3 linked regions of the Oreochromis niloticus genome follow. The protein of the gene in region 2 binds, or shares a complex with, the protein of the main gene of each other region. Links are inferred from orthologs where the notes say so. Each region holds a gene or a part of one and is shown on either strand. Other genes may lie near its edges.

The links. The genes of interacting proteins can lie anywhere in the genome.
Region 1: crnkl1 (region 2) and rnf113a share a complex: the UniProt entries of both Homo sapiens proteins name them as parts of the minor spliceosome. The link is inferred for Oreochromis niloticus from reciprocal best matches to the Homo sapiens genes CRNKL1 and RNF113A.
Region 3: crnkl1 (region 2) and snrpg share a complex: the UniProt entries of both Homo sapiens proteins name them as parts of the minor spliceosome. The link is inferred for Oreochromis niloticus from reciprocal best matches to the Homo sapiens genes CRNKL1 and SNRPG.

What each region holds. Positions count from the first base shown.
Region 1 is NC_031969.2:28,812,688-28,819,531, forward strand, and holds the start of rnf113a (E3 ubiquitin-protein ligase RNF113A), read left to right. Parts: upstream 1-3,836; 5' UTR 3,837-3,888; coding exon 3,889-3,994; intron 3,995-4,408; coding exon 4,409-4,488; intron 4,489-6,844. Other genes in the region: rundc3aa (RUN domain-containing protein 3A), read right to left, coding at 2,666-2,772. UniProt on the Homo sapiens protein: Required for pre-mRNA splicing as component of the spliceosome. As a component of the minor spliceosome, involved in the splicing of U12-type introns in pre-mRNAs. E3 ubiquitin-protein ligase that catalyzes the transfer of ubiquitin onto target proteins.
Region 2 is NC_031980.2:23,432,508-23,439,674, forward strand, and holds the start of crnkl1 (crooked neck-like protein 1), read left to right. Parts: upstream 1-4,161; 5' UTR 4,162-4,305; coding exon 4,306-4,353; intron 4,354-5,574; coding exon 5,575-5,727; intron 5,728-6,012; coding exon 6,013-6,104; intron 6,105-6,316; coding exon 6,317-6,475; intron 6,476-6,844; coding exon 6,845-7,011; intron 7,012-7,167. Other genes in the region: cfap61 (cilia- and flagella-associated protein 61), read right to left, coding at 1,500-1,620, 1,708-1,775, 1,959-2,035, 2,198-2,348, 3,573-3,715. UniProt on the Homo sapiens protein: Involved in pre-mRNA splicing process. As a component of the minor spliceosome, involved in the splicing of U12-type introns in pre-mRNAs.
Region 3 is NC_031984.2:33,153,294-33,160,378, forward strand, and holds the start of snrpg (small nuclear ribonucleoprotein G), read left to right. Parts: upstream 1-4,077; 5' UTR 4,078-4,205; coding exon 4,206-4,237; intron 4,238-4,419; coding exon 4,420-4,442; intron 4,443-5,093; coding exon 5,094-5,218; intron 5,219-6,935; coding exon 6,936-6,986; 3' UTR 6,987-7,085. UniProt on the Homo sapiens protein: Plays a role in pre-mRNA splicing as a core component of the spliceosomal U1, U2, U4 and U5 small nuclear ribonucleoproteins (snRNPs), the building blocks of the spliceosome.

The DNA.
Region 1 (6,844 bases), on a different chromosome or scaffold from region 2:
TTTTGGGATGTCTGGCAATTCAAAAGTCCCCCTAACCTAAAAAGAAGGAGCATTCTTCTTACTTACTATTTAGAATAGCCATCTCTTATTATTTTTCTCTGTTGTTATTCTTTTTTTGTCCATTCTTTTCTCTGTAGATACAGCACGTCTCATTAAAATAGGATTGGTCTGTTAGGTATGACACTGAAACACCGAGCAAAGATCAGTCAGATTTCTGTGGCTGGTACTCGTGACCCACATCATACCAGATCAACTGTACACACTTTTAACCGGGACTTTGATGCCAACACATTAAAGGAATTGTTGGGAGTAGAAATGTTAATCTCTGCGTGTGCTGACTGTATGTTAAACATGTATGATGTTGCAGTAAGAAAAAAAAAAGAGGGCAGACTTTATATATGCAGTAAATGCACACAAACACACTTAGGGTAAATAATAGCTTGGCCTGGTGAACTAATCAAGCACTAATGTCACAAACTCAGCTGTGGGAATGGCTGCATCTCAACAACCGCGACAGAGCCTGGATCCCGGATCGTGCAACACGATGCCCTGCCTGCACTAATGCACAGCCAGAGGGACGGTGCTGATTCAGGCTCTCTCCTCATTATCCGATCAGCGAGCAGCCTGTGAATCAGCTCTGACCTGAACAACATGTAAAGATCCAAAACACCATGAGCGGGGAGATCGGGCAGCAACTCGGACACGCCAAGAAGAAACTGCCCTCGAAGTGAACCTAATCAATGTCATGTTGTTCATTAGAAAATGGAGAAAAGTTGTTGTAGTCAGCATTACTGGTGGAAAGCTGTTTGAGATTTATTTCTGTCTTGTCCAGTTTGTTTGTCTTTAAAACGCTTAAATGATTAAATCTGTCTTAGCACAGCCAGGAGAAACTGAAAACAAAGGTGTTTTTGTGTCCCTGCTAATCCTTGTCTGTGTCCACTGTGAGAAGTTTTCTTTCTTTGCAGGCATGCTCTCTGTGATGTTGTGTGTTTTTGCCTCACTGTACATGCCACTAAAACGCAGGCAGGACCTTGGATATAAAGGTACTGGAATAAAAATGCTTGACTGTGAATCCATGTTGGAGTCCCTTTCTGTTTTGATTGGTGGTTTCTAGCACTACGGTGCAATAAATTACAAGAAATACAGCAGAGCTTAGACGCTGGATGCCACTTTTGTGAACGCTTTTTATGATTATAGTCAATTTGCAATTCAAGATGAGGAGTAGTACTATAATAAATTTTATGAGAACACAACAACATGATCAAAGCAGCATTTTCCTGCCAGTCTGTGGATATCACATAATTATCAAATACTCTAAAGTAGGATAAGGTCACTATAACCTAGTTATGTCAGACAAAGGAAAATAATCAGCAGCATTTTTTACAAAATGGGTAGTTCAAGTTATTTTAAGGCAAAAAAACCACCTGAGATGTGGATATTTGTGGCATTTTTCTAGATGTATACAGTATTAGGTTTTCTATCTTTGGGATGTGATGATTATTTGTGCAAAAGACGTTTGAGAAAAAAGCACCTAGGCCTCTGAGAACTTGTGATAACACGGTCGAAAAGTTAATTAGCCTTCAGTGAAATGAGCAGAGTCCCTTTTACATCAGGGATGCCTAATTTGAAAGGTTACAAAATTAATGCAAGGAGGTCATGAAGTGCTGAGAAAAGAGAAAAGAAAAAAAAGATTTCTGGGCTATTTTTAATAGTCTTTCTATATTTATTGTTTCTATATGAATATAAACATTGGTCTCATGTGGAAGCATGCAAATTAGAGCCTCTGGTCAAAAAGGATGGAAGCTGTTAAAGCTCTAAATATCACACGTGATGTAATAATGTGCAGACTGGAACCAGGAGGGTGTTACATTATTGTATAAAACTGGACTTACTGTGCAGCTGAAGAGCTCTCGTTGTGTGAGCTGTCAGCTCACACATTTACAGTGCTAACCTCACTGCAGAAGACAGTGATTTATTAGAGCCAATCAGTCAGAGGCCATCTCTGTAGTGCGTGGATGGTGGATGGAGAAGGATGGAGGGCCCCTGATGTGGGGAGGAGTCCTTGCACTGCCCCAAATGCCCTTGTCCAATTCAGGCACTGAAGCTCACCATGATGGAGGAGGAGACCTGCTGCTGACTGGCTTATCTTCCCTTCATCCCTATTCTGCAATTGATTTTGCAACACTCATCACTTGAATCACTTGAAGCTGCATTTCCTGCTATAGAAACAAACACGCAGGGGACTGTACTTTTAAACGACAGACAGAATTAATAGATTTACATCATAGCAAAAAAAGAAAGAAAAAGAAGCCCCGCAAGCAGTAAACGAGCATTTAAAAACAAACACTGGATAATTGAGTGGTTTCTTTAAGTCTACTGTCTCTATCAAACTGGGTGTGATGACAGAAGGTACGTGAAGGTGAACACGCACCTGCCCCCTCCTTAACCCTCGCCTTTCTAGAAATGTGGCCCTTTTTTCTGTAATATTTTCCATTTATATTGCTGCCATTGTTTCACTTTGGGAATGAGCGCAGGGGTGGGCTTCTTGGATGGAAAAAAAACAAACCTTGATCATGATCATACTGGTGAAAATATAACCCGAACAGCTTGCAAGGACAGGCTCCTTCTGATAAATACGGCACGTCGATGGTGTCGTGATGTATACCTGCAGACCGTGATGAGGTTTTTTCGCTCCACGCAGACGCTCCGAGCAGACGCCTTTTTCGATGTCAGACCCATAGCCATTGCTGTCTGAATACAGCCCGACTCCATCCAGCGGCGGCCCCGGGCCTCTTCGGGATTCGTGCCCAGGCCAGGACCTCTCCCTCCGTGGGCCCTGAGTCCTACAAACACCCGCCGTCCTCTGCGGGGAGTCACGGATGCTGCTACAGTCGCTGCTGGAAGAGGAGGAGGACGGGATCTAAGCGACTAGAACCAAGTTACACGTATTTATCACTGCAACTTCCGGTTAAAACTTTCAAAATAAAACTATCTTCCAGTTTTCATCACAGATTCATTCATACTAGAATTTCCAGTCTTCCGGTGTCAGGCAAAAAAAAAGTGATTGCTGATGTTTTTATGTGTTTGTATGTGTTATATCTTGGCTTACATTGGTAGATAGGCTGGGGTCAACAGAATTTTCAAAGGGCTAAATATGAAATAAAGAAATTACCTTTTTTGCAAGTATCTCGACTCAGCGTTATTGTAGCTACTCTGTGTCCTGCATTATAATCAATCCAGTCCTTTTTTGCTGCTTAAAATATCTTTTGTAGAACCGTTCTTTTACATTTGTCTGAATTTCTAAAGCCCTCTTTGACCAAACATGTTTATAAAAAGATATTTTTTAACACCAATTAGACTTTTTAATATCAATTAGACTTTTTACCTGGAAAAATAAAGGAAGTCACTATCTAAGAGTAACTTAGCCAATTACTGCCTGCAGCTTCTACCTTGTGTCTGGTCAGATACTTTTGCAATATGTTTGATAGATTATAGACCAACAAGTCATTTAAAACAGTTTAAATAATTAAAACTTTTTGACAAGTATCTAAATTCCCCTTTTGGCAGACGAATGTGTTTTGGCACAGCTCTAAAAACTTTACAGCACTTCATAGAGTTATAACGATTTCCAAGACATAACTTAAATTCTCATGAATTATTTTTAAATATGAAATAAGTAAATATCATTGAGCAACTTTTGATTAACTGGCTCGCAAAAATTGCAGCCACTTTCTCACTGAAGTATCACTGCTGCCTTTTTAAATCTAACTTCACAATGCCTAAGTAGGTGTGATTCTCCTTTTGACCAGTACAGGGACTAACTTAAGATGACTCCTAGACACTAGAGGGTGCTGTGGCGAAAGCAGATATTTACAAAACAGAGTCAAGATGGCGGAATCAGAGAAGCCTCGGGAGGGATCTTGTACTTTTCTGTTTAAAAAATCTAATAGGAAATTCTCTGGGCGAAAGAGAAAAGCAACCGATAGCGAGAAAGGTTTGTTATTTAACTCACTTTCTGATCATTTAAAGCCCAGTGAACTTCCGGTGTCGACAGCGCTCGAGCTTTTTAATGATCGACTACTTGTTTCTGTTCTCGTAGTCCTTTACAGATAACCACTGTGTTATTAACACGGTAAGAGGCAAAAATACTACATCTGATTCCAAAAATCGGAGAAACGATGTAAAGGAAGTACCGCAGATGATACATTTTTGTTCCTGTTATAAACAAATTTCACATTCGTGCCGCGTTTACGTTTCCTCGGAATTTGGAACGCTATATGCGCCTGCTGTTTCTTGTCCTCCCAGTTAACTCCGAGATTATTCTAAGATTTTGCAATTCTGCTGTCAGTTATTAGACAAGTTACTAGATTTTTTTTCACCAAATGTATCTCACTCATGTCCTTTTCAGATGAAAACAGTGATGAGGACCAGACCCTCGTAGTGAGAAAAGAAAAGAAAAAAACTCGCATCAACCCGATGATTCAGAGGGTAATTATGGGTTGTTGTTTTTTTAAATTTTTTAAATTTTTGTATATTTATATTTTTTAACATGTGTTTGTCGAAAATTGCGTTTTTCTGTCTTAATCACTGTGTACCTCAACGTGCACTGGAAATGGCAAGTATGTATCCAGAATCAGCTGGCATAGTCAGATTTGCAAAAGTCTAAATCTGCATTTAGATTCACAAGAGTACTAAAGTATTTAAAAGTGTGTTATGTTAATGCATATATAGATTTTTTTTTTTTTTTTTTACATTTAGAATATGGACAAAGGGTTTTATACACTTGCAAACCTGATATTTTTGAAAAAGTTTATAAATCTAATCATGCAAACACACATTTGCAGACAAGACTGCTATGACAGTAGCCTCAAATGAGACAGAGGTGACTGTTTTTGTCCATCCATCCATCCATCCATCTTCATCCGCTTTATCCGAGGCCGGGTCGCGGGGGCAGCAGCCTAAGCAGAGAAGTCCAGACCTCCCTCTCCCCAGCCACCTCCTCCAGCTTATCCGGGGGAACACCAAGGCGTTCCCAGGCCAGCCGAGAGATATAATCTCTCCAGCGTGTCCTGGGTCTGCCCCGGGGCCTCCTCCCGGTGGGACATGCCCGGAACACCTCACCCAGGAGGCCCCCCAGAAGGCATCCCTATCAGATGCCCGAACCACCTCAACTGGCTCCTTTCGATGTGGAGGAGCAGCAGCTCTACTCTGAGCCCCTCCCGGATGGCCGAACTTCTCACCCTATCTCTAAGGGAGAGGCCAGCCACCCTTCGGAGGAAGCTCATTTCTGCCGCTTGTATCCGCGATCTCGTTCTTTCGGTCACTACCCACAGCTCGTGGCCATAGGTGAGGGTAGGGACGTAGATCGACCGGTAAATTGAGAGCTTCGCTTTTACACTCAGCTCCCTCTTCACCACGATGGACCGGTGCAGCGTCCGCATCACTGCAGCCGCAGCACCAATCCGTCTGTCGATCTCCGGCTCCCTTCTCCCATCACTCGCGAACAAGACCCCGAGATACTTGAACTCCTCCACTTGGGGCAGGAACTCATCCCCGACCCGGAGTGGGCACTCCACCCTTTTCCGGCTGAGAACCATGGCCTCAGATTTGGAGGTGCTGATCCTCATTCCCGCTGCTTCACACTCGGCGGCGAACCGTTCCAGTGCGAGCTGAAGGCCTTCACCTGATGAAGCCAACAGAACCACATCATCCGCAAAAAGCAGAGATGAGATTCTGAGGCCACCGAAGCGAAAGCCCTCCGCCACTTGGCTGCGCCTAGAAATCCTGTCCATAAAAATTATGAACAGAACCGGTGACAAAGGGCAGCCCTGGCGGAGCCCATCACCCACCGGGAACGAGTCCGACTTATTGCCGGCAATGCGAACCAAACTCTTGCAACGGTTGTATAGGGATCGAATGGCCCGTAGCAATGGGCCAGACACCCCATACTCCCGCAACACCTCCCACAGGACACCCCGAGGGACACGGTCGAATGCCTTCTCCAAGTCCACAAAACACATGTAGACTGGTTGGGCAAACTCCCATGCACCCTCAAGTATCCTTGAGAGGATAAAGAGCTGGTCCAGTGTTCCGCGACCAGGACGAAAACCGCATTGTTCCTCCTGTATCCGAGGTTCGACTAGCGGACGAACTCTCCTTTCCAGCACCCTGGCATAGACTTTCCCAGGGAGGCTGAGGAGTGTGATCCCCCTGTAGTTGGAACACACCCTCCGGTCTCCCTTCTTAAAGATGGGGACCACCACCCCGGTCTGCCAATCCAGGGGTACTGCCCCTGATCTCCACGCAACATTGTAGAGGCGTGTCAACCAGGACAGCCCTACAACGTCCAGAGCCTTCAGGAACTCGGGGCGGACCTCATCAACACCAGGGGCTCTGCCACCAAGGAGTTGTTTAACTGCCTCAGTGACCTCGCCCCCGGAAATTGGCGGGTCATTCCCCTCATCCCCAGACTCTGCTTCCTCCTCGGAAGACATGTCAGTGGGATTAAGGAGGTCCTCGAAGTATTCCTTCCACCGCCTGACAATTTTCTCAGTCGATGTCAGCAGCGCTCCGCCAGCACTATACACAGTGCAGGTAGAGCACCGCTTTCCCCTCCTGAGACGCCTGACGGTTTGCCAGAATCTCTTCGAGGCAGTCCGAAAGTCTTTTTCCATGGCCTCTCCGAACTCCTCCCACACCCGAGTTTTTGCTTCAGCCACTGCCCGAGCCGCATTCCGCTTGGCCTATCGATACCTGTCGGCTGCCTCCGGAGTCCCACAGGCTAACCAAGCCTGATAGGACTCCTTCTTCAGCCTGGTGGCTCCCTTCACCTCTGGTGTCCACC
Region 2 (7,167 bases):
ATCATAGAGAGATTTTACATTTAGATTTAGCTTTGAGTTCACGTTATTCATTTGCACCTGTAGGCAGACCTGATTACTCATGCATTCACATATGTACATTTTTCAAAACGACACAGAAAACAGATAAAGATAACACAACACAGGGAAAAAACAACCGTAAAATATCATGTAAGATTGTAAAAGGTACAATTCATCAGGTAGACACAAATAAGAAGGTAATATCTTGTGGAAGTTTGATAAAGCAGTTCATTGCTAACATTTCAGTGCAGCTATGTAGTGTAGTGGTTTACACATTCAACTGACAGGCAAAAGACCTACAGCCCCAGATCCCTTTAGGATGTCTCAGGAAGGGTATCTGGTGCAAAAAGTCTACCAAAAAAACATGTGGAGCTGCCCTCTGTAGCTTCCTACTACTGAGAGAAAGTTCTTCTGCCACCTGGTGGCCAAAAAGAAAAGAAATTCAGCTTTAACTTTACCAGGTGTGCTGTCGAATGATCGCTTTTGCTCAGGGAGGTTCCCAATATATATATATATATATATATATATATATATATATATATATATATATATATATATATATATATATATATATATATGTTCACATATTGCATCAGTGAGTCCACTGGTGTCTGATGTAAATTTCATCGTCAGACAGTGAGTGTGAGCCTCTGGGCAAACATCCAGGTGCCTTTACAATATACAAACTACGCAAGTGCCCTTCAGGCAGACTTCAAGGAAGTGTAACAAGAAGGAATACTCTGCTGTGTTTGCCCGTGTCCATGCCCACAACCTTGTATAAGCCCTGCTTAACCACAGCCATGAAAAATTAAACATGCTTCAGGGCTTCCTTTATTACGTCCTTCAGTAGAGGATAGTTTATGAAAAATGGAGATAATACCATCCCTCAGTTCAAAGTGATGCACCATCAGAACAGTCACAATTCTCATATGCACATTTTTCAAAACTAAATTCATTGTAATTACTGTTGAATTTTCCATCACAGCTTGCTAATATGTCAAAGTGCTCTAAAGGTATATCAGCTTTATCAACTTATAAAGTTGTTTCCTTGTTAGAAGCACTTTATGACAGGTTTAGAAAAATCCTTATCAAAGGCAAGAATTAGGGGATCAGGAAAGCTATTTCATTTCCCCTTGTGACTGGAAAAGGTAACGAGCTGCCTCCACTGTTCTCCTGGAGTTCCTTCTTTCTGGGTTTTGCATTTTCTCTGTTTTCTCTGGCAGTTCTACGTTTAACACCACTAAAAACATCCTTGGTCCTTGCATCTTCTGTGGCATAACTCTTATGCATTATTTAATAGCCTATTGTAATTTCAATCATGAAATAAACTGTTGTGCTCATAGAATCTTAGTTCTTATGAGTTCTTCGTCACATCTTACATCAAAATTGATGTGAATAAATGTTTATTTATAGTACATCCATCTACACTCTTTTATTCACTCTACTGTTTAGTAGCCTGGGGAGGAATCAGTAGAAATCACCTGGCTGCGCGCACATGAGGCCGGGGACAGTGAGCTTTTCTGTGGCAGATCAATGCCAAGCACTGAGGCCCGGGGTCGGTCAGACGCTCCAACGGCTCAAATATTTCATCCAGTGCCGGCTCTGCAAGCACAAAAAACATCTGTCTGAGTCTCTTGGAAATTAATGCTTAAGTGAATTATAGACTTTAACTTGCTAAATCTAAATCACCTAAACCACCAACGTGTGGGCTGAGCAGACAGACGTATTCAAGCTCAGGAATGGCGTTAAAGATGGACCTGCGAAACAAAGCGCATCAAGAAAAATGATAATTTTACACATACTGCATTCACCTTTCAGGACACCTGCATACTGTGCTTGCTTCTAATCAAAGTGCATTGTAGTATCTACCTTGCACTGATATATGAATCTTATCGAATGATACAAGAATTTTTAAAAAAGGGGTCTTTGTTTGTTCATACCTCATTATCTCTTTCACACTTGCTGTGGTGAAATCCGTCCGTGCCACAAAAAGGTGGAGGAAAAGTGTGTTGAGAGGCTGCAGAAAGACAACAGTTTAATCCACTGCAGGTGTGAGCTCACTTCATTTCATTTCATCTAAGCAGAGTATGGGCACTTGGCCACATTCATTCCAGGTGATGTTAATTGCCTCTACTTAACGAAAACCTTATGTTAAAATCAGTAAATGAAAGGTACAGACTGTGCATTGTCCAGCACTGAAGTGTTCCTGCAGGAAAGCTTCCCACTGCGTCTGATCCACCAGATCTCCAATAGGGTGATCAAAGAAGGAAGCGTGGCCTAGGATGTCGCCCTTTTCATTGGTCAGAGTCACAGCCAGGTTAGCTTTCTCTCTGAATGAACATGACAAGAAAGCTCAGTGATGGTCTCTGTAAGTGTTTGAAATTAACTGAGAGCACAGACGTCTACATCAATCACCACATAATTGTGATGAGAGTTGCATCCACCACACGTTTTCAGAGGCAACTTGGTCCTCTTAGATCCTCCAAAGGAAAACTGAAAGAAGCAGTTTGAAGCAGTTGCTATGACCGTCAGGTGGAAGTGGGAGAGCTGAGAGAAGAGCACCAGTTAAGGTGGTTAAAGCATGTGAATCCCTCCTAGTTGAGGTGTTTTGGGGATGTATAAGCCCCCATAACAGAGACCACACTGCCCTTAGAACTAGAGGTGGGGAAAAAATCAGCATACTATCTTATTGCTAAATTTTCTGTGGCAATATTGTTTTGATAGAGGGAACCAAATATTGATATTTTATTAAATAAATTAAAATATTCTTTGAATACTATGAACAACAGGCGTAAGCCCACACACCACCATTCTCTCATAATGTTACATTTCAACTGCGTAATAAAAATAGAAACAAAATCTAACACAAAGTTACCTCCTAATTCACAGCAAGCTAATTCCTCATCACAAAGCATATGATCTACAAAACATAACAAACAAACAAACCATCTACAAAACACACACACACACACACCCTCCAAAGGAAAAAAACAAAACAAAACTAGATGGCTGTCTTATGATTGAATTTTTTTCACAAATGATTGCCTGGAGCTCTTACAATCACTTTTGATCACCAGGCGATTGCACAGGTCGCCTGATGGGAGGCAACCTTCCTGCAAACAGTTGTAGTCTGACTTTGACTGACTGCAATCATTCTCAGAGAGATTTTCGAGAGCTAACTCCCATCCCCTCCAACACTATAATTCTCCTACAGTTCTCAGCATGAAAACTGATGTGAGCAAATAAACAAGAATAGATACTGTGAAAACAATATAACCATTACACTTAAGACAAGAATAAACCACCATACAGTCGGTGGAGAACAAAAGTAATATTATAGCATAGCTATATATTAAAGAGATGATAGAATTCTTGCGTTTTCATGGAAGTTTATAATTATTTTTGACGTTTTAGAGACTACATAATTCAAACAAATTATCTAACAGTGATTAAAACAACTTATCCAGCTTGTAGGTGTGTTTGTGTTCAGAGAGCATCTAGTTTACGGTCTAAACTCTGCCGCTGAGATGTTTAAGAAGAAAAACTTTTCTCACAGCAGATGAATAACATTGACTCTTCCAAACACCGCCTGCGCAGAGGGACTAATGAGGCCGTCGATCTCTTCAGCGTCCGCGGACTCGCTTCTCCTCACGGTCACCGTTACCTCCCGGGCGCTGTCTGAGGTTACAGTCCGCATCGTCACCCGTATTATATGGACAAATAGTACTAATAAAACTACAGCAGACGAAAGACTGCCTTTTTGTAATAAACTGTAATATCAGGCTGGTGGATAGAAGAAGGTGAAATTTAATATAAATTTATTTAACTGAATTCAGCTCACTGTTTTCACCTATGAAGAGCTCAAACCCAGTTGCCATAGTAACGTGACGCCAGAACTCCCGCGGTTTAACCGGAAGTCATGAAGCAACTGTTTAAAGCACTAAAATCAGTCTAGAAACGAGTTTTTAGTCTTCATCAAAACTTCCTCAGACTGGACAAATGGACTCAACTGAAGTCTGTTATAGTGAATATATTCTCTATATCGGACAACGTATATATAAATTATTCAAATGGCATTGGCGAACAAACGGTAGATGGCAGCAACACGTCTGCGTTTTGAAGAAAAAGAAAAAGAAGAAGAAGACGCGGGGCATTGTGGTTACTGTCACGGTGGCTGGCGCTCGGTGAGACGGAAACGTTTCGCTGCCTGTTTGCGCCGTTTGGTAGTTGTCGTGACAGTTTAAGTGAGGTTTTTAACGTTGTTTGTTGGTTAAACCGGCCATCAAAATGGCGTCTACGGCAGCAGGCAAACAGCGGATACCGAAGGTGGCGAAGGTAAGTGAACAGAGCAGTATCAGCGCTCCAGGCTAATGCTAACATAGAACTCGGGCTAACGGAGCAAAATTAAAATCTAATCTCATCTTTTCACTGCCAAAGTTACTCACAAAAACGTGCTACACTGTAGTACATTTAGGGCTATTTTACCTGATGAACAGGTAGCTCTGTGGTCTGAGTTTCACACAAGTTACATTAGCTGTAAACTTTCACCACGCTCTGCTTTGTTTTGGCTTCCATGTGTTTTACGTGTCCTTAATTTAGTCTTGTTTATATTAGGATTTAAAATCTGGTACATTTGAGTTTCTTTGTGTCTTTAAAGTTAGAAGTGTGTTTAAAAATGACTATTATAGTAATAGTATGTGAAGGAGGAGTGGACTGTGATTGTGTTTACAGGCGACAATGTGATCTGTATTGAGAGTAGGGAGCTTCTGGAGGTATATGGAAGCAAGACAGAATACATGTGTGTAAATGAGAGGGAGGCGGGTGTACCAGTGAAGCTGAAAGGAGTAGAGGAATTGATGGTGGATGAGTTTAAGTATCCGAAGTGAACCATCCAAAGCAACGGACAGTGTGCGAGAGTGGTAAAGAAGAGAGTGCAAGCAGGTGGAGACGAATGTCAGGGGTGATTTCTGACATGATAGAGGCAACTGAGAAAGCTTACAAGATGGTAGTGAGACCTGCAGTGATGCATGGTTTGGAGACTGAAACTTACAGGAGGCCGAGCTGAAGGTCAGGGACAGCTCTCACCAGTTGCTTTGGAGACAAAGTTAGAGGCAGAGATGGTTCCAACATGTGCAGAGGAGGGCTAATGGATATACTGGTCAAAGGATGTTGAAGGTGGACCTGGCAAGCAGGAGGAAAAGAGAAAGACCTCAAAAGATTGATGGATGCAGTGAAGAAGGACATACAGAGGGTTGGTATGACAGAGGATGATGCTGGCATAGGGTGAAGTGGGGATAAATTTTGGTGACTCCTAAAGGGGGGAATCAAAAGAAGAATAAGATGATGATCAGTCACCTCAAGGTGCTTTATATTGTAAGGTAACATAAGCGATTAAAAACTCCAACAATCAGGAGAACTTGGTGTCTCTGGGGAGGAAGAACTCTATTTTAACAGGAAGCAGGTTCAGGGAGAGGCTGTCTGCTGTGACCAGTTGAGGGGAAGAGAGGAAAGACTAATTTTGTGCTCACGCTAATTGTATTTTGTGCTGTGTTTTAGGTGAAGAATAAAGCTCCGGCAGAGGTTCAGATTACTGCAGAGCAGCTGCTAAGGGAAGCCAAAGAGAGAGAGCTCGAACTCCTGCCACCACCACCGAAACAGAAGATCACCGATCAGGAGGAGCTCAATGACTACAAACTGAGGAAGAGGAAGGTAAGCACTTCCATCATATTTTCTCTCCTGGTAGTGTTCACATTGCTCTTACTCATACTGCCATTTTTGCAAGAATTTTTTCCCCCACTTTATTTATGTTTAAAAAGCCAGCATAAAATATATTTGAGGTGTGATGCTCTCTGGCTTTACTTCTGCTCTAATAGTTATGTTTAGTTAAACAAATGTGTTTGTAGTTTTAATCTAACAGGAAAATTTGAGATGTTTCCAGCACACAAAAATATGTTTTTATAGTTTTTGGACATGATGAATGTCTTTTTCTTTCAGAGCTTTGAGGACAACATCAGGAAGAACCGGACTGTCATCAGTAACTGGATTAAATACGCACAATGGGAGGAAAGTCTGAAGGAGATCCAGAGGTACTGAAGCAAAAACAGCTGAAAGTCAGAATATTAAATGGCTACAACTTCGCACGGGGTCAATCACAAACAACTTAGTCTTGGTTGTACTGAAATAAGTAGAATCGGTCTTCACATCTTTTAACATTTTAGTAAATGTTTTAGAATTTTTTCTCATGCCCATGTGTCTGCACTGTCCACTTTTACCTCACCAACGGTTACCCTCGTTTCAGAGCTCGTTCCATTTACGAGCGGGCGCTAGATGTCGATCATCGCAACATCACTCTGTGGCTAAAGTACGCCGAGATGGAGATGAAAAGCCGCCAGGTGAACCACGCCCGCAACATCTGGGACAGAGCCATCACCATCCTCCCACGAGTCAACCAGTTCTGGTAGGACTTAAAAATCATTTAATCGCCATATTTATTTCTTGATTGTTTTGTCTGTAAAATATCAGCAGGCTTTGGCAAGTGGCACAAGTCACAATTTTCAGTCCTTTTCTGTAGTTAAAAATTGAATAAATGTATTTGTTGGCTGATACTTTATTGACACTTATCTAACAATAGAGTAGCTGAAATGTAACCTGATGTAAATGATGTGTTTTAAACTTTGAAAAGTGCATCGTGTGTGAGTGTGAGTCTGCTTGTGATTGTACAGTTCTTATGGAGAGTCTTTGCTGTGCATTTGTTGTCTGTTTTTCTTAAATCTTCTGTGTTTCTTCATTAAGTGTGTAATATTTTGAATGCTGTTCCTTTGCACAGGTACAAGTACACCTACATGGAGGAGATGCTGGGAAACATCGCCGGCTGCAGGCAGGTCTTTGAGCGATGGATGGAATGGGAGCCTGAAGAGCAGGCCTGGCACTCTTACATCAACTTTGAGCTGCGCTACAAGGAGGTGGAGAAAGCCCGCACCATTTATGAGCGATATATCCTTTTGTTGCTTTTACTAACATGCAGGGAACTATGTGTTTCCCCACAGTTAAATTCAAACAATATAATAAAACTTTAAAATAAAGAAACAAAAAGCACGATCAGGGTGATGGTCTGAGTCGTCCCACAGAGCTTGAGTTCATTATTGTCAG
Region 3 (7,085 bases), on a different chromosome or scaffold from region 2:
CATCACATCAGCCTTTAAAGGGAGGTTTAATCAGTGTTTGTACATCTGAGAACAGGACATCTTCTCAGATGCGTCTTGCAGAGCAGCTATGCATTAATAAGTTTCATTGTAGTGAAATGCAACAAAGAAGAAATACACAGAATATGTGTTTAGCAGCAGCCTTTAAGATGAGCCTCGGCTTTATTACGGCAATATTGATGATATGAAATTGAACATAAAGCTAACATTTTTACTGTGAAGGACTGTTGTTGTCTGCAAATTTTCACTCTAATACATTGAAAACTATAGAAGCCAGAACAGTTTGATTATGATTCATTTGATCCACTCAAAGTATTCAAACCTTTATACCCAGGAATCCCTCTTTCAGACCAGTGGTTGTCTGTGTATCCACTTTTATACAACTCTGTGATATAAAAACTTGTAAAGACTAGGTAAATTCCACAAATTGTCTGCTTTTTTTTTTTTTAATTAAGAATGGTAGCTTATGATCCTGGAAGATAGTCTCACCACTTGGCAACAACTGGGCTGGTTTAATTCCAGCCAGATACACAAAACCCCTTTGGGGTTGTGTTAGGGAGGCCATAAAAAGAGCATAAAACTCTGCCAGTCAAACATGTGGAGTCACCCACTGTGGCGATCCCTTGTGAGAAGGGAGCAGCTGAAAATGGCTGTTACTACGGTGAAGATCAGCTGTGTAAAGGTTCCTGGACCTTGGATAACCTTCGCAGTGCTTAGAGTTTGGGCTGTTCATTTCAAATCAACCCCATTTTCCAAAAACACGTTGGGATTAGCTCGCATGCTCAAAGTGGGGCTAAGCTTATCTTTGCCTCAGGGTTTGTTTTGTTTTTTTGTTTTTTTTTGTTCTTTTGAGAAATTAGGCCGTCTGCTCAACTGTGGTACATTCTGGCCAGAACACTGCCTGACAAATTGTTTGCTACTTGTCTAGTTTTTGTTATGTTTTCTGCTGTATTTTCTTACAAATTTGGCAATAATTATTCATCGATTGTGGTGTCTGATTTTGTCGTGTTGTCAGTCTTGTGTGTCAAACCTGAGTGTTAGCAGCACTACTTAGAGCACTGGGTGGAAGTTTATTTCTTTGCTCGAGAGATAAAATGCAGTCCCAGGGTCTGCATGAGATTGTAGTGTGTAACATTGTTTGTTTACATGCTGTTTCCCAATATTTTTATCATGGAAGAAAGATTGCAGTAAACTATACAGTGAGCAAACTTGGCTTTCATGGATAACTTTACCCAAAACAATGCCTTTCATAATGGCCCTGCTTTTTAGCTTGCATGAGCTCGGGTCGTATTTTCTAACTATGCAAACAGATGGACTGACGGCAGCCCTTCAGTGTGTCTGCGATGCTCAATAAGTGCGCTTTGGTGAATGAACTTAAATCAACATGAATTTTTTGTTTTGTTTTTCTAAAGTATTTTCAACTACTGTTTTCAAAATGCGACTGTGAACATGTAGAAGATATGTTTCTAGGTTTCGAAGTTTCTACTTTGCTGAGGTCTTTTGTAAATTGGTGTGTATGGCTCTTTGCAGATGACAAATAAAATTTAACAGTTGTCAGATGTTTTCTTTGCATCACTGCTGCTGTTCTGATTCTGTGAAATTTTAGTGATTTAATTGAAGTTTTTCATACTGTGGATCTGAGAAGTTTGTTCCAGAGCAGCTAAACCGCAGTTTCAAACTGACTGCGTGCTCTACCGCAGCTATACAGCAGAGTTAATGGGTAACTGTTGAAATTAGCAAGAGGAAATGTATGTACATTTATTTTTAATGACTTTTAGCTAGTTTCTAGGTTCAGATAATATAAATTATTATTGAAGTTGCAGGTCGCAGCTAAAAGCTCTTCCATTTGTATTCTGAACATAGTCAACAGTGTAACAACTAATGGCCATGAATCTTACACATTTCTCTTAAAGCAGGAACAATAAAATAGTGTTATAAAATGCAATAATGTACACTGGATTCATTATTAAAACAATAAATTACACTAATATGATTTTCCTCAAATTATTAAATGTGCAGTAAATATACTGTTTATTCGGTTGTTAGCTTTGACAATGAATTCATATTAATTATTGGCATAACTAACTATTAATTTTAAAGTTACAAAAACTTTTTCACACAAAGCTGGTGTAGTTTTTTTCAAACAAAAACTACACCAGCAGCTGAACCTCAAATAATAGCCAAACACATAGTTAGATCTTTGGTATGGATAGTGGATATCCCATTGTGTTTGTCAACAAATAATAGTTCTCATTGGGCCCACCTGGGGCCCGTTCTTCGTACCTCGCTTACTACATCCAAGATCAAATGACACATCCAAGATCAAATCATCGCGCTAACCTTGAGCTCGCTAATCCGGTTCTCCGAACACACCTGTTGTTGACGATCAGTATAGCTGGATGAAGTAATGCGAGATCACTGGGTGTCTCAAAAGGGGCTACGCATCGATAGTAGAAACATTGATCGGCAACCCTTTGATTGGTCGGCGAAGATGTCGAAGGCGCGCGCTCAGTATTTTACGGCAGCAGAGCAAGAACTCTTGATTGAGGGATATCAGGAGTTTCAGAGTTTAATTAAAACGCAAGGGAACACCGCAAAGGCTGCAAAAGCAAGGAGAGAGGGCTGGCAGAAAGTTGCTGACAAATTAAACTCGTAAATAATTTATTATATCATATTACATTATATCCTCTTTCACATTAGAGCCACAACAGGACCCACTAGAACATGGGGACAAGTAAAAGTGAAATATAAGAATATTCTACAGAATGGTAATAGTTATCACTTATATTGCTTTTAGTCTCTTGAAAAGAGACCCTGAAATAATCTGTTTGTTTGTTTATAACAGCAACCAAGAAAAGGGCAGAGCAAATAAAGACAGGTGGTGGTCCTGCACCCCCTCGTGTGTGTGTGTGTGTGTGTGTGTGTGTGTGTGTGTATATATATATATACACATATATATATATATATATATATATATACACATATATGTATACATATGTATACATATATATATATATATATATATATATATATACATATACATATACATATATGTATACATATATGTATACATATGTATATAGGGAGAGAGAGAGAGAGAGAGAGAGGAAGGACAGGACGGATCCTGTCAATCCCGCAATATACGCTGAATTCTGGAAACTCTCCTTATCAATCTTGCACCTTCCGCAATGGGTTGCTCGCGTACAAACAGACAGGACATGGCTGCGACAGACTTCCCAAATCCACCTTCGCTTTTATAGCCGTGGTCTCTCATCTTGATTACACGAAGTAATTTACTATTACTACTCTAAAATACGAATTACATCTGAAATAATCAAATACGTGTAATAGAATGATTACTAGTACATTTCCCTTTTTCTTAGGAAATGACCTGTATGTATCTGTATGCAATCAGTAAAAGAATCAACTACTGCATTATCTTTAGTTACATTGATAATATTTATTTATGGAGAAACAGTGGTGAAATATCGCTGTTGCTTTCGTGTACATGCAGCGGACATACCTGAGTGGCCGCGATCTAATCCTGTTTACATAAAGTAAACCTGCTCCCGAGCAGGTTTACGCTTACGGATCTGTTGCTATGACAGCAAGTCCCAGATGAGCTTCGGAGAACCGAACGATCCAAGATCACGCGAAATCGTCAACAATCAAATCCGGCTAACTTACTTAGCGAGGTACGAAGAACGGTCCCCTGGTCTTATAGCAAAAAAACCAAAACAACTGCTCATCCACTGGATTTTCCTCACCCACCCATAAACGAGGTTTTACAAAGAATGGTCTAAAAAAGAGAAAACATCCAGTAAGTGAAAAAAAAAAATTCTCTGGGTGAAAATGCTTTGTTGTCGTGCTTCATCAGGCCAGACTGTAACAGTAACTCAAATTACCACTTGTTACAACCAAGGTATGCAGAACAGCATCTCTGAATACACAACATATTTGCATTTAAATAAATGATTTGAATATTTCTTCCACTAATATATATAATTCAAAGCTAGCCGGCTCTCCTTCCTCCTGTTCTCATGGCGGCGCTGTGAGGAAAAAGCAGAAGGTCCAGTATGAGAGTTCACCAATGAAGTTCCGGTTGTCGGCGCACGCTTTCCTTCCGCGGTTTCGTGAAACGAAAAGAGTGCGAACGAGTTCTTCGACTTTCAGAAAATACAGATAAAATGAGCAAAGCACACCCACCCGAGCTGAAGAAGTAAGTCAGTGATCTTTGATAAATAAACGCGCACTGGTTATTTTGTACCTGTTTCTTGTTTCCCGCATAGCAGCTCTGGTACATTGTTTGTAATAGCCACAAGCTAACATTAGCTAGGCTGCCAGACCGACTTGTGAAGAAACTGTGACCATGTAACCGATGCTGATGGTTTTCTTTTCCAGGTTCATGGACAAGAAGCTTTCATGTGAGTATGACTCCAAGCACAGATTCAAAAGCACCCAGAATGTTAAGAGTGAATCTGTTCCTGTGTTTCGTTGTTTTTAAGCAACAGCATGAAATATCAAAACATAGTTATTGAATAATTTCAGTAATTACCTTTCAGTTTTCACCTGGTACACAAAGCCTTCTTCGATGACCTCTGCTCACTGTTTGTACAGGATCTCATAACAAAGGGTAGACATGTAGTGCAGGCAGCACACATGGGGGGACATTTATTTTAATACGCGCAGCGTGTTGTGTTGCTGGGAAGTACTGCTAGAAATGCAGATGTTGATATATTGTATAACTTGCACAGGTCTTATCATCCCTACTGACTTTCATTGACAGTATACTATAATTGTGAGATGTCTTTATGGTCTTTAAAAGTTTGAAATTAAGCTTGTTGTAACCCTCGGTTACAACACTGGGTAAGTCAAGTACCTTTCACAGATGTGGACTCAAAAGTTAGGTTATGTGATAGCATAAATATATGGATGTCTTACTTTGCTGTATGTAAATATTCGTGGTAGTATGTGGGCAATCTAAACTTTGAGTTTGAAGATGGATCAGTCCCAAAAATAAATAAACTGAGCAGTTTGTGAAATTCTTCATATTGATTTCTTTTCTCTCCTTTCAGTAAAGTTGAATGGAGGCAGACACGTACAGGGCATCCTGCGTGGGTTCGACCCTTTTATGAACCTGGTGGTGGATGACTGTCTGGAGATGGGCCCTGGAGGACAGCAGAACACCATTGGCATGGTGGTCAGTAAATTTGTCTTTCTTAATTTTTGGTATTGTCACCAAAGAAAATTTGTGCGCCTAATATAAGCACAGCAATTTTTATCTTCCAGCAGTCTGCTCTCCTCTCAACTACAGCCCGTATATTTACCAGAGAGTTCTGGTTATGATGGTGTCAGACTTCATATTTGCCACAGTCTAAACACACAGTAAAGAGCTCTCATTAACAGCCCAATCTTTCCTGGTAGGGGGCGATCATAGCTCAAGAGTTGGCAGTTCGTCTTGTAATCGGAAGGTTGCCGGTTCGAGCCCCGGCTCCGGCAGTCTCGGTCATTGTGTCCTTGGGCAAGACACTTCACCCGTTGCCTACTGGTGGTGGTCAGAGGGCCTGGTGGCGCCAGTGTCCAGCAGCCTCGCCTCTGTCAGTGCGCCCCAGGGCAGCTGTGGCTACAATGTAGCTTGCCATCACCAGTGTGTGAATGGGTGGATGACTGAATGTAGTGTAAAGCGCTTTGGGGTCCATAGGGACTAAGTAAAGCGCTATACAAATACAGGCCATTTATATTAATAAAATTTATATTTTGCACATGAAACCTTTGCATTTTTGTCACACTCTGTTTCAGCAAAAAAAAAAAAAAAAGCAAAAAAAGAAATCTGCACAATCGTCACAAAATAAAATAAATATTTTGTGCCTGATTAAAGCTCTGCTTTTCCATCATGTTAGTAATTTCCATCCACCATTTGCAAAGAGAATTGGTGGAGTCATTTCTGTACATTTTGGTTGCATATCATGTGCTATTAGTATTTCGTCCTTTGTAACATTAACCATGACCTGAACAGCGTCAGATTGTTATGCTTGTTTTATACTTGAGCAGTAGTAGCATGAACGCAGTTCCTGGGCAATCACAGTCTGCCTGCAGAGAGTGTTTGTTGTTGATGGAGTGTAACAAATATGTATTACAACCTGTGTGTGGGCCACACTTGCATGTGCTGTTGTTGTTCCAAGTATAAAGTTCTCAATTGTTCTCAAGTTGAAGTGAACAGTGTTTTCAAAAACAACGAAAAGTGTCCACTGCAGTCACACTCTGTACTTTTCATGCTGTATTTTTTTCCCTTTCATATTTGTGTCATACCATTTCCCGCTGAACTCCACAATCGCGCCCTCCCCTGTTCTGGCCCACTTGTCAACCAATGAGCTATTGACCGACACATGTGTCATCAACATCCAGTGACATGCTGTTGGGGCTGTTTGGTGGACTGCACGATAGCACACTTGTGGAATTGTGTACACAGACCATACATTATTTATTAGTTATACCTGCATCTGCTGCTGTTTGCTCCACGAAATCATTTTCATTTATTTCAAAATCATTCTGTGTTTGAAGCAGGAATTATACCGTCACCGAGTCCAGTAGGGTCCACTCAGGTCCCACTGATATAAATTTCATCATGAGATGGTTAGGGCAGTTTGTGCCTGCCTGCTTTTTGTAATGTTTACTTACTTTATAATGCACTAAGTAAACATTCTCCCCAGCCCATGAACTACAAACAACAGGAATGAGTGCTCAGCTGTTCAGTATAATTTAGGTTTAAAATGTCAAGAAAAGCGGTTTGCTTTACCTTCTATAAACAAGATACTAAATTCTGTTTAGATTTGGAGAGCTCAGTGCTTTATTTAAAACCTTTAGGACATTTGTCATGATGGCAGTGTGTTTACTCTGTGTGGTATTGTTTCTCACAGGTCATCAGGGGAAACAGCATCATCATGCTCGAGGCCTTGGAGAGAGTATGAGAGTGGAGGAGGCACCTGAAGAAAATGATCCCTACATTTTGTTTTTTTGTTTTGTTTTTTTACATTATTGTCCCTTTCTTGTTCCTCAGTAAAGAGACA